Macaca fascicularis: one gene and its partners. The protein of the gene in region 1 purifies or fractionates together with the protein of each later gene. This does not show direct contact. Links are inferred from orthologs where the notes say so. Each region holds a gene or a part of one and is shown in the gene's direction. Other genes may lie near its edges.

The links.
Region 2: the proteins of TFDP1 (region 1) and E2F2 purify together in Homo sapiens (affinity purification with mass spectrometry; 3 studies listed by BioGRID and IntAct, with this or other methods). This does not show direct contact. The link is inferred for Macaca fascicularis from reciprocal best matches to the Homo sapiens genes TFDP1 and E2F2.
Region 3: the proteins of TFDP1 (region 1) and E2F3 purify together in Homo sapiens (affinity purification with mass spectrometry; 3 studies listed by BioGRID and IntAct, with this or other methods). This does not show direct contact. The link is inferred for Macaca fascicularis from reciprocal best matches to the Homo sapiens genes TFDP1 and E2F3.

What each region holds. Positions count from the first base shown.
Region 1 is NC_088391.1:104,031,882-104,035,347, forward strand, and holds the end of TFDP1 (transcription factor Dp-1), read left to right. Parts: intron 1-1,532; coding exon 1,533-1,680; 3' UTR 1,681-2,957; downstream 2,958-3,466. UniProt on the Homo sapiens protein: Can stimulate E2F-dependent transcription.
Region 2 is NC_088375.1:211,588,280-211,592,619, forward strand, and holds the start of E2F2 (transcription factor E2F2), read left to right. Parts: upstream 1-1,438; 5' UTR 1,439-1,876; coding exon 1,877-2,128; intron 2,129-4,340. UniProt on the Homo sapiens protein: Transcription activator that binds DNA cooperatively with DP proteins through the E2 recognition site, 5'-TTTC[CG]CGC-3' found in the promoter region of a number of genes whose products are involved in cell cycle regulation or in DNA replication.
Region 3 is NC_088378.1:152,550,823-152,554,898, reverse strand, and holds the start of E2F3 (transcription factor E2F3), read left to right. Parts: upstream 1-1,204; 5' UTR 1,205-1,534; coding exon 1,535-1,927; intron 1,928-2,929; exon of another isoform or gene 2,930-3,116; coding exon of another isoform or gene 3,117-3,134; intron 3,135-4,076.

The sequences.
Region 1 (3,466 bases):
AGCACACATATTTTGTTCCGTGCATTTTTCAGCTTACATTTTATTGTATTAATATATATAGTTTCTATGCTATTAAAGGGCCTTTATTTAAATAAATTTGTATTTAATCTATAACCTGCAATCCCATAGAGTAGAATGATGTCCCTAGGTATTGATCTTAGTGCTTCAAAGATAAATATACCTTTTATGGTAAATATTAACAAAACAATTATTTTATTAACTATTATATTGCATTGTGATACAATATATAGTATTACTTTATATTATAATCTTAATAAAATCTTTCATTAGAAATATAAGAACTTAGTAACCTATGGGTCTGGATAACAGGGCTCGACATAGTGAGTTGCAGTGCGCTTGAGCCTGCGTTGGGATGTGCTGTAGCCATGAGATGTAACAGGTGTGTCAGGCACGTGTAGCTTCCTGGCCAGCTCTGGAGGTGCAAAGCCAGCCTCTGCCAGCCTTAGCCTCCTCACCTGTAAGGTGAGACTGGTGATTGATGAGTTACTGATCTGTGGCAAGGATCAGTGAGATGGTGATGGAAGAAAGGACTTTGGTGACAAGCTTTTGACAGGCCGATTCTTGTAGCTATGTGTGAACGTGTAGGGGTCCGTCTGTAAACACGTTTAACATGTTTAATGCTGGTTCTTCCATGAGGTGGGATACGGGTATTTTTAGGACTTTTATCATCATATAATCTTTTTATGGATGTGATTCTTCAGACTCGTCAGTTTTTCATAACAATAGAAACGAAGCTATTACCAAATACCAATTTTCATAGTGGCATGATAGGACATATTATAAAAGTACCTCATGAAAGGACATCTAGGTAGTTCCCAGTTATAAGAAAAACTACAGTGTGCAGCTTTATGGCTGAATTTCTCACCATTCTGACTTGTTTCCAAGATACGGAATTACTTCATCAAAAGGCACATTGACTGATTTTTATTGTAGTGTTTTAAATACCATTAAAATGTATTAAAATATGTACATATGGGTTTATGTTAATTGAAAAACATTTTTAAATGTTAGGAATGTTGTGAGCTCTGGTTGGTGGTAGGTTTTTGTGGTGCTGCCAACCCTCTGGGTTCTCAGTCCATGCTGCCAGATTCGACCCATACTCTGGACTTCATCCGGTCCTGCCCCAGGCTCTCTTTTTTCCTGTTGCTGGTTATGAGTGAAAGTCCTGGAGGGAGGGGTCTAATGGTTTTACAGTTTGTTCCCTCTGGGGCACTGCTCCTGATGGAATGATGAGTGAGGGAGAGGCAGCGTGTGACTGCTCGGCCTCCTGTTTCTGTTGTTATGGATGCCAGGAGACAGGGCTAGAAGAGAACCAGACAGGGATGGAGTGAGTGCCAGAGCGCTGGTGTGCTCTACTGCAGACACTCACAACCTTCCAGTTCTGTTTGTGTGAATGACAAAACCCACACCTGTGGGGCACTGCCTGTCCTTTGGCCACAGGCCCTCAGGCGAGGGGAGGCTGAGTGGGCTGCCCTGCACTGACCACCCCTCATCCGCCTCCTGCCTTGCAGTGACCTGACCAACGGCGCAGATGGGATGCTGGCCACAAGCTCCAATGGGTCTCAGTACAGCGGCTCCAGGGTGGAGACCCCGGTGTCCTACGTCGGGGAGGACGATGAGGAGGACGATGACTTCAATGAGAATGACGAGGACGACTGATGTCCTCCCCACTTCAAATTCAGCTTCAGGAAAACGTTTAGGAAAAGAAACTTTTTTTTTAATGTGGGTTTTCTGTTCCTTTTGGCCTACTCCCAAGAAGATATTGGTAAGCTATTGAATTTAGATATGCACCTCTAATAAGCAAGGATTGTTTCCCGTAGGATTAGGATGTGCTGTGGATGTGTGTTTTGATACCAGTGTGCTGATGCAGAGCGTTTATTTACTTTTTAGGATTTTGTGTTTTCATTTGCTATTTTTCTTTAAGTGCAGAGTTCATTTTTGCCCCTGAAAAGTTTTTGCTGAGTTTGCTGAAGAAATTGTATTTCATCCACATCCATGAAAATAAAACACCCTCCTGTTGTGGACGGTGAGCACCTGATGCCGCTTATTTGCCGTGAGTTTGGACGGCGCCCCTGATGCCACTTATTTGCCGTGAGTTTGGACGGCGCCCCCTGATGCCACTTATTTGCCATGAGTTTGGACAGCGCCCCTGCTGGCGGATAGCGAGACTGTGGAGTTTGTTCAGTGGTACGGTGTCCAAGCAAACAGCAGAATTCGACTTTCTAAACAGCCCTAAGCAAACAGCAGAATTCGACTTTTTAAACAATAAACACCATCAACCTTATTGACTTTATTGTCCCTTAAATTATATTGACTGTTGTGATTCCATCAAGTTTATACACTCTTTTCTCTCCCTATTTTGCAGCAACAAATTGCGAAGTGCTTTTGTTTGTTTGTTTTTGTTTGGTTAAAGCTTATTGCCACGCTGGTGCGGCTATGGAGACTGTCTGGAAGGCTTGGAATGGTTTATTGCTTATGGTAAAATTTGCCTGATTTCTTACAGGCAGTGTTTGGAAACCTTTTATTATATAGTTGTTTACATACTTATAAGTCTATCATTTAAAGACATCTACTGAAACAAATGTATTTGTTTCATAAGCATCTTCCTGTAATCTATTATAAAATTGAAATTAAATATAGAGAATGTTTTAACAATTTTTTAACTCAAAATTTGTCAATCATTTTTAATAGTTCTTTTTTTATAAAAAGAAAAAGGAATTTAAGGACAGGCAGTAGTCTCTTTTAAAATTTATTCACAAAACCCATTAACTGCACAGTTGCTATTAGCTGCCTGTTCTAAAACGATAGTCTTTTTATTGAAACACAAATAAACTTTTCTGTAATATTTTATGGAATATAAAGAGACTTTAATTGTTTGACTTGTTTAACTTGGCACTGTTAGTTTTTATTAATAAAACGCGCATGGGCATTTTAAACAAGCTGTGTTTCTCTAATTCAGGATTATTATCTAGAAATTTGTCTGTCTTGTTGGTTTTACTTTATACTTGAGTGAGAAAGTAGGTTGTTAGGCCCAGACGCCTTAGGCCTGGGTGGTCCCTGTGGGTGTGAACCCCTTCCCCACCAAATGTTGTCTGAGGCACATCCTCTGGGAGCTTACCCTGAAGGTGGAAGGTGGCCAAGGGTGAAGGTCTTGGTGGACACAGGGCAAAGAGGCACCTTCCTTTTTGGTGCCTGTGGTGCAGAGAAAGATAAGCCAAGTTCCTTGGCCCTTTTTCACAATGAAAATTGAGACAAAATTTAAAAGTTTGACTTTGAGAACAAGAATAAAATTGAGAGGATTCTGGGAAGATGGCGGAATAGGAAGCACCAGGAATCTGGCTCCCCAGGTAGACGTCTACCTTGCGGGCAGGATCTGCCTGATGCAGCTGTTCTGTAACTGGAATCTACTGAAGGCTGAAAACTTTCAAGGGAGGCTTGGTCAGCA
Region 2 (4,340 bases), on another chromosome or scaffold:
TCTGCCAATTCTTGAGCCTCCTTATGATCCAGGTTCTGTGCTGAAAGCTTTATATGCATTATCTCAGGAGATTTCCTCATGATCCTATGAGGTAAGTGCTATTAGGATGAGAAAATCAAGGATCAAGGATCAGAGAATTTACAAAATTTGCCTAGGTCACACAACGAATAAAGTGTCTGGGCCTGGGTTTGAACTCAGGGCTGTTGGCCACACAGCCTGGGCTCTTAATCATCATGGGTTATTGCCACCTTGTCCTCAACCATCTAATGAGGAAATAAGCTGTGGACTGTCTCTGGAGGGTTTTGAATGCCAAGGCTCAGACTTGCATAAAAATCACACAGCACCAGGCAAGAATCAGACCTGGAATGTAGCAGCAGCTTCTAGCAGCTTTACCACTCACTACCAAAGGTTGCTTCTCTGAGCCTCTCTAAACTGGAGTGGTGAGGAATATATTATCAGCAATGAAGATTTTTGAATGAGGCAGGGAGGCTCTTGTGACAAAAGGATTGTTTAAAAGAAACCTGGAGATGTTCAAACATTTACTGAGTGTTGGGTCCTAAGAATACAACTGTGAATAAGACAAAGCTCTGCAGTGGGCCTCTGACCCTGCTGTGCCGGCAGGCAGCTTGGGAGGGTAGAAGAACCCCTTAACTGGAAAAACAAGGGCTCCAGAGCTGGGACCTGTCCCAGATTCCATTGCCAGCTCTCAAATCAGGGAATCTCTCTGTATGACCTTGGGCAAGTTACCCAGCCTTTCAGACTGTCAGTCTTTATCATGGGGATCATCATTCCTCTTCCCAGGATTGTTGGAATAAATTAAAACAATCCTTGTAAGGATCTAGCATGGTGCTTGGCATCCTGCAGGCGCTGAATAGATGTTAGTTTTCCCTATAAAGAAGTAGACTAGTTTGCCTCCATCCCTCACCCCTCTGCCATTAAAGGGAACAAGTTCCTGGCCTTCATTTTAGCAGGAAAGGGGATATGAATGCACATGTGCTAGCTAAGCAACAATGCAAACTAACAAAAGGGCCTGTGGCCTGGGGAATACACTGCTGAGTCTGGGCTCAGGTCGGGACCCGGCGCCAAAATGTTTCCCTTCAACCCCAGGGAATCCGGGCCCATTTCTCGGGGCGCTGTGCTCTGTTCTGGCCGCCTCTGCACTGTGCATCCCAGAACCACCCTGTCTCCGTCTCGCCGGCTGCTAGCTAGCGCGTCCAGCGGCGGGCGGCACCGACAGCAGGTGTGGCTGCCCCTTTAAGCAGCGAAGCTCGTGTTGCAATCGCCGCCTCGAGGACTGGTTCTTTCCGGGGGGTGGAGCCTGTACTCTTGCAGCAGCCAACGGGAGCGCGGCATTTTCCGCGGGAGATCCGAATTTCGCGGCACGCCGTTTGGCGCTTAAAAAAAAAAAAAGAAAAAGAAAAAAGAAAAAAAAAGAGGCAGAGAAAGACTCAGGGACTAGAGAGCGGGCCGCAAGGAAGTCGGTGCAGTCGAGACCCCCTTCCCCGTCCCAGCGCATCGCGTCTCCACGGAGCTCGCGGGCACGCCGGGGACTCCTCCCCAGAGCCGGCTGGACCCCAGGTGCCGAGGCCTTGGGGGGCGCGGGGCGTCCCGGGTCGCGGTGCCCTCGGGGCGGGACAGCCCCTGGCAGTGCCACCACCGCAACCGCCGGTCGATCTCCAAGCGGCGATCTCCAAGCGCTGCTCTGCTCGGCTGCGGGCCAGGAGGGGAGGGTCCGGCCTTGCCCCGCAGACGTCCATTGGTGGCTTTCCCCGGCCTCCGCGCCATGCCGCGGGCCGTGTGAGCGGCTGCAGCACCGGAACCCGCAGGTGTCGGCGGGCGCGCCAGGCCCGTTTGGGTAGGGGGCGCCTTACTCGCTATGCTGCAAGGGCCCCGGGCCTTGGTTTCGGCCGCTGGGCAGCCCCCGAAGGTGGTGCCCGCGATGAGCCCCACAGAGCTGTGGCCATCCGGCCTCAGCAGCCCCCAGCTCTGCCCAGCTACTACCACCTACTACACGCCGCTGTACCCGCAGACGGCGCCTCCCGCAGTGGCGTCCGGCACCTGCCTCGATGCCACTCCCCACGGACCCGAGGGCCAAGTTGTTCGATGCCTGCCGGCAGGCCGGCTACCGGTAATGCTGGGGCCCCCACCGCTTCCCCCTATGCTTTTCCAGGTGTGGGAAAGGAGGGAGGGGTGCCTGAGATCCAGTTTGAGTGGAGCAGGTAGAGTTTTGGGAAGAGGGAAGATGAGCTTTCAGTTTCCAGGACCCAGTGCCCCCAGTATCTGAGTAGAAGACCCCTTCATTTTCAGACTTTGGATGAAGTAATCTCATCCATTCTAGTGGAGTGGAATGAGCACTGGATTGCGAGTCTGGAGGGAGACCCAACCCACTACTCCCAGTGCACTGTGTGACCTTGGGGAAGCCCATGCAGCCAAAGTTGCCGCCATTCATTCATTACTTCATTGTTTGGCCAGAAACCAGCACTGGGTGCCTGCTATTGTCCAGGCAAAGAGCATGCCTGGGGACACTGTGGGACTTTGGTAAGACAGAGGGATAGGTCTAGTGAGTCTCTCAGGTTCAATCTGCCATGGACAGACTCCAAATTGTCCAGCCAACTCCTGGTATAGCCCCAAGTATCTGCCCTTGGTCCTCCCCAAGGCCCAATCTTCCCTCCCAGGCAGCCTGTAGCAGATAGAAATGTGGGCAGCCCCCTGGGTTCTGTTCAGATTGGCTGCTCTCTCCTTAAGCTCCCAGGCTCGTTGCCAGAGATGGCCCAAAGTGTAGTGGCACCAGGCTGCCTGCCGACCTGGGCTCAGGGTGTGTTTTGTGGGAGTGGAATTCCTGGAGCCCATGTGAATCAAAACAACTTTAGGGTGGGGGGTGGAATGGGAAAAGCCCGGGGAAGTGGGGGTGGTGGTGGTTGAGGAGCCTGGTTTCTGGTGTGACTGCCATTAATTCTCTGTGTGTCCTTGGACAAGTCTTGGCCCCAGTCTGGGCCTCAGTGTCCTCTCCTTGACAATGCGTGTGTGCACAGGGTGGCTGTGGGGCTAGCTCTTCTCTGCCACATTCGACTCCAGGTCCTGGGTTTTGGAAGCCGGCTCCAGGGAGAGGATTGGGGTGTTATAGGTTTGCTTAGTTGTGGGTGTGGTGAATAAGTTCAGGTACAGGGATAAGACCACCCCCCACTGCCCCAGAGGCATCTGGTCAGACCTGTGCTAGTCAGCAGGCACGGATGCCCAGCCAGCTCTGGATGCAGGCAGAGCCACTACTCCCTGCCAGTGGACTCAGGCTTTGCCCATGTTCAAAACGTTAACCTTCCCGGAGACCCTTCCTGCACATGATTTCTAACTAGGAGGGCAGTGGGCAGGAATGGTATTGTCCCCATATTACAGGTTAAGCAACCGAGGATAACTGGGATTGGTGATCTTGTGGTCAGCGTTTTATAGCCCAAAACATCTTTGTAGTTTGTGAAATAGATGGCATTAGTAGCTCCATGTTACAGGGGGAAAACAGGCTCAGAGAGGGGATGTGACCTAAGGTCAGAGATGGGGATGGGATAGAGTGATGGGACTCACAAGGCAGTAGGCTCTTCTCTGTTTTATTTTTTGCAGAGACAGGGGTCTCCCTATGTTCCCCAGGCTGGTCTCAAACTCTTGGGCTCAAGCGATCCTCTTGCCTCGGCCTCCCAAAGTGCTGGGATTACAGGCATGAGCTACTGCACCTGGTCAGGCAGTAGGCTCTTCTCTATGTAGCCTTGACTTTCTTTATTACTGCCTGACTTAGGAGCTGAGTACCCCCCGGGGAAGGGAACTTTGCAGCAGGCCCACTCTCCTCTGGCCAGCTGCTTTCACACTGGAATTTTCAGTAACAGCTGTGGTTTTCCACTGCTTTGAACCCTCCCAGAGGAGCCCAAGTGCATCTTGTCTGTACCTCCCTCCCAGAGGGGCTCAGTGATCTTAGCAAGAAGGTCTCTTTTTTACTGAGTGCCTCTCGTGTGCCAGACACTGCTTGGCACTCTTCACGTTCATTATCTTGGTCAAGATGTTCAGAATGAGGCATCTTGCAGATAAGGAAACTGAGCAAAGAAAGGAAGTCACTTGCCTGGGTCACAAGCAAAGAAGCAGGAGAGTCTCCTTGCAGCAGACCACCCTAAATGCCTGCCAGGCCCAGAGTTCCCACTCCTGTCATCCCCAGATGCCCGGGGCCCAGCCCCGTGGGCAGGCCTGCCCTCTGCTTACTCATTTTACAAGGGTGTGACCTGGAGCAGCTCCAAACCCAACCCTGGGTGTGGCCACTTGCTTTGTGGCCAGGCTGCAAAGTGCAAGGTGAGCAGGATTTGTTG
Region 3 (4,076 bases), on another chromosome or scaffold:
AGACACTTGAATACTTGAACAAATTCAGGGGTCAGTTTGACAATCATTTTATATTTTTCTAGTTTACTTAAAACTAGATAATTTCTAGTTTACTTAAAAACAACAACACTATTTTAAAAATACTTTGGGATAGGTTTGAGTCGTGTTTGCTTCCAGTCAGAGAACTTCTTACAAAACTAAAGATACAAAGTGCTGATGCCCGGGCGTGCCAGCGTTTGTTGGGGGCACGACGTCATCGTGGGAAGCGTGTACTTTTTCGGATTACTGCTTGGCGGATTAGAAACCCGCAGATCAGTTCTAGGTTAGCCCTGATTAACTGCCCTAGGTGTTTCTGGGCCAGAGGGAATATCTGCCGGACTCAAACCAATACTCGTCGTAAGACAAAGGAGTTAATTTGTACTTTACCCCTATCCAGGCTAATAATGAAGGTACCGGGAATGATCTGGAATGTTAACTGGTGCCCGCAATCGCGTCTGCTGAACCTTCTGCCCCCACGATTCTGTCTGCCCACATGCTTCTGTCTATCAGCCCCGGCCTCGGGATCAGCTCTCGCCGCGTCATTGGTTGGATTTCAGAAAGGGAGAAGCCCACGATTTAAAGGGCTCCTTTTCCACCTGCCAGGCATAGTCCGCATGGTCCAACTTGCCTTTGGCACACATTTGGAAGAATCTCGTGCTGCTGTTCGTATATTGCACTGACTGGTCAAAGGAAAGAGAGTGTTCCCTTAGTCACCTTGACAATTTCCAAAAGCGAAACTTGCGCTCTAGACTAGATCTACACTGAGTCTGCGGGGCGCGGAGTCCCTGCCCAGGTCAGTAGAGCCGGCCCGGCGGGGGGGCGGGGACAGGGGCGGAGCCTAGGCCAGGCGTGGTCTTCCGTGGGAGAGAAGGAAAGTCTTTGCCCCACCCCCTAAAAACTGCTCTTCTCCCAGCCAATCAAGGAGACCTATGCAAATAGGGTCCCTGTCGCCCCGGTAACCATGATGCACGGCAGCCAATGGAAACCTGCAAATCGCGGCCCTGCTCCACGATTGGAACTAAAGTAAGGAGCTAGAGGCCCAATGGGCTGTGGGAACGGTCCTCGGCGGGTTGAGGGGCGGGGATATGCAAATATGGTTTGAAAAGCCGGCGGGAAATCCGAGTTTCGCGGGAGGACCTTGGCGCGTAAACCGTATCCCTTCATTCATTGTCAGCAGCAGCTTCCTGGAGCCATTTTTCAGCTGCCGGCCGCAGCACCCGGGCTGCCGCCGCCGCCTCGCAATCCGTTGCATCGGCCGCCCCCGACGCCTCCATCCCCGCTTGGGGCCCGATATCCGTGCGGCCGGGACCCTCCTCTCTCCAGAGCCCCGATTATTTTTGGCCCCCGGGGCCTGTGCGGTGCGGAAAAATAAAAAGAAAAGAGAGAGAGGGGGCTCGGAAGCGCCGGGCGGGGAGGAGAGAAGGAGGAGAGACTTGGAAACTCCGACTGCAAATAATAAAGAAATTGAAAACAATACATTAATATACCATAACACTAAAAAGAGCAGGAGCGAGAGATGAGAAAGGGGATCCAGCCCGCTCTGGAGCAGTACCTGGTGACCGCCGGGGGTGGGGAGGGGGCGGCTGTCGTCGCCGCCGCCGCTGCAGCCTCCATGGACAAAAGGGCACTGCTAGCCAGCCCCGGCTTCGCCGCCGCCGCCGCCGCTGCCGCCGCCCCGGGCGCGTACATCCAGATCCTCACCACGAACACTTCCACCACCTCCTGTTCCTCCTCCCTCCAAAGCGGCGCCGTAGCCGCCGGCCCCCTCCTCCCCAGTGCCCCCGGCGCGGAGCAGACCGCCGGCAGCCTCCTCTACACCACGCCGCACGGACCCTCCAGCAGAGCCGGGCTGCTGCAGCAGCCACCAGCCCTGGGACGCGGCGGCAGCGGCGGCGGCGGCGGCCCTCCGGTAATACCCTCCCTCCCCACCGTCCCCAGCCCCGGCGGGAGGTGGGCTCGCACCGCGCGGGGTCGTGGGCGCGCTGCGGACCGCTCAGGGAGAGCAGTGGGCCGAGCATCGTGGGCCTTGGGGGCTGCCCCTCCAACGAGGGTTCATTGTTAGACCTGAGTGCTCTCCCCGGCGCCAGGAGGGTCGGGGGGCTCGGCCAGGCGCGCGGGGCGGCGGGGATTGCCTTGGCGCGAACCACATCAAACACTCCAAAACTTTTCGCGGCCCCCCCTTCTTTTCCTGCACTTTTCCCTACCCCCACTCTCCCTTCCCCTCCAACCCGAAGCTTCCTCTTTCTCGGGCGTAGGAAGGGGTCACGCCCCGGATGGAGAAGGGGGTGGGGGAGGGAGCAGTGAACTGGGGTGTGGGGGGCTCTGAAGGGTGGAAACCGGGGGACTGTTGGGGTGCTCGCCCCCAGTCTGCCTTGAAGGCTCGTTGGCGGCCGGGGGTCCCTGCGGCGTGCTCGGAGCGCAGGGGATCGGCGGGGCTGCGCTTGACACATTTTAGGATCAGTAACTCCCAGCAACAAAGGGGCTGGGGGAGGTGGAGGGGAGTCGGGCGTGGGGGAGGTGGGGCTGGAAGCCGGGTGCGGACTGGGGCGTGGGCTGTCTGGGGTGAGGGGCTTGCCGGCTGGCGCTCTGGCCTGGGCGCATCCTGGTGGTGGCAGCGGCGGCGCCCGCGTGGCCCGAGCGCCCAGGCCTTCCTCGCCGGGCCCCGGGCCTGCCCTTGACCCGCCTCTCCCCTTGCCCCTTCCTTCCCCGCCCTGTCCCCCTCTCCGCCCCCCGGCGACGGAGGGCGGGGGCAGCCGGGTTCCCGTCCCGCCGCCTGGGTCTGTCCCTCTCTCCGGGACCCGCCGGTGACGTTTCGCACACGTGCGCGCAGGACGCGCCTGTGACTGGGGAGGAGGCGGCGGCGGGAGGGGGCGCTGGAGGGGGAGAGGGGGGCACCCACTTCCTCCTGCTCGCCGGCTCCCTGGCCTGGGACGGTCCCGGCGCCCTCGCACCCGCCCCCGGCACCGCCACCCTCCCTCTCCTCTCCCCACCCCCCCACCGGCGCCCGCCCTCGCCCTGCGCCGCCGGTCTGTTCGGCCCTCCGGGCCCCCTCTCCAGCCGGCCCCCCACCTCCCCCCGGAGCCAGGCTGGTTTCGGAAATGCCCTTACAGCAGCAGGTTAGTGACCGGGACGGCTCGGGGGCCGCCGACGCCGCGGGGGCACCGGATTCTGTTGGGGGCTGAAGCGGTGAGGGTAGGCGGTTGAGCGGGGTTTTGGAGTGGGAACGGGGGGTTGGGTGCTCGAGGGAAATGAGTAAGCAAGAAAAATCTAACTAAGTAAATGCCCCGGCCTCCGGTTCTAGGAACCTCGGGGCGGGAGTGTCTGCCCCAGGGGGTGGGTATGGTGTTTACGTGGATTTTTTTTCTAGGGGGCAGATGGATGGGCGATAGAAAACCGGAGGGGGCTTCTCGCCAATGGCCGAGTTGAGCTCTGTTTTCTGTCTTCCTTCCCTTGTGCTGGAGGGGGAGGGGGGCGGGTCAGAGGGTAGGGTGTCTGTAGGATTCCCAGGCCACCCGCCACCCCCTCCCTTTGTCCCTGTAATTTATAAAGCGCCTTTGAGAGATGATTTAGGTCAGTATGCGGCTTCTCTTTTTGTTGGTACTAGAAAGAAGTGTGGCCCGGAGGTCTCCCCTTTCTCCTTTTCTCTCCTTCATTCCCTTCCTCCATGCCTCCGGGTCCTCACCTCGTGGTGAGGCTTGGCCTCCACGGGGCTAGAACCAAACCAGACTCAGATCCATGGTAGTCTGATCATACCAGGCGTGGACCTCACCTTGTCTCAGCTCCAAATGGGTTTAATTTTTGGAGAATCAAGATTTTGCGGGAGTCTTGAAGAAAGTCAGCACATAGGCAGCACTTTGGGAAATGGGATGGGTTTGGGAATAATGAGGCGTTTTTTATTTCTTTCGTGTTCCCAATTTCTCCCCGGGTTCGGTCTTAACTGCTTTCCAGCCCCAGAGATACTTGCTGGGCATGTGTGATGTAGTCTTAGTCAAAGAAGCTCATCGTTTTTTTAGTGACTAGGGTCTGCCAGCAGGGGGGAAACGGAGCACAGTACCTGC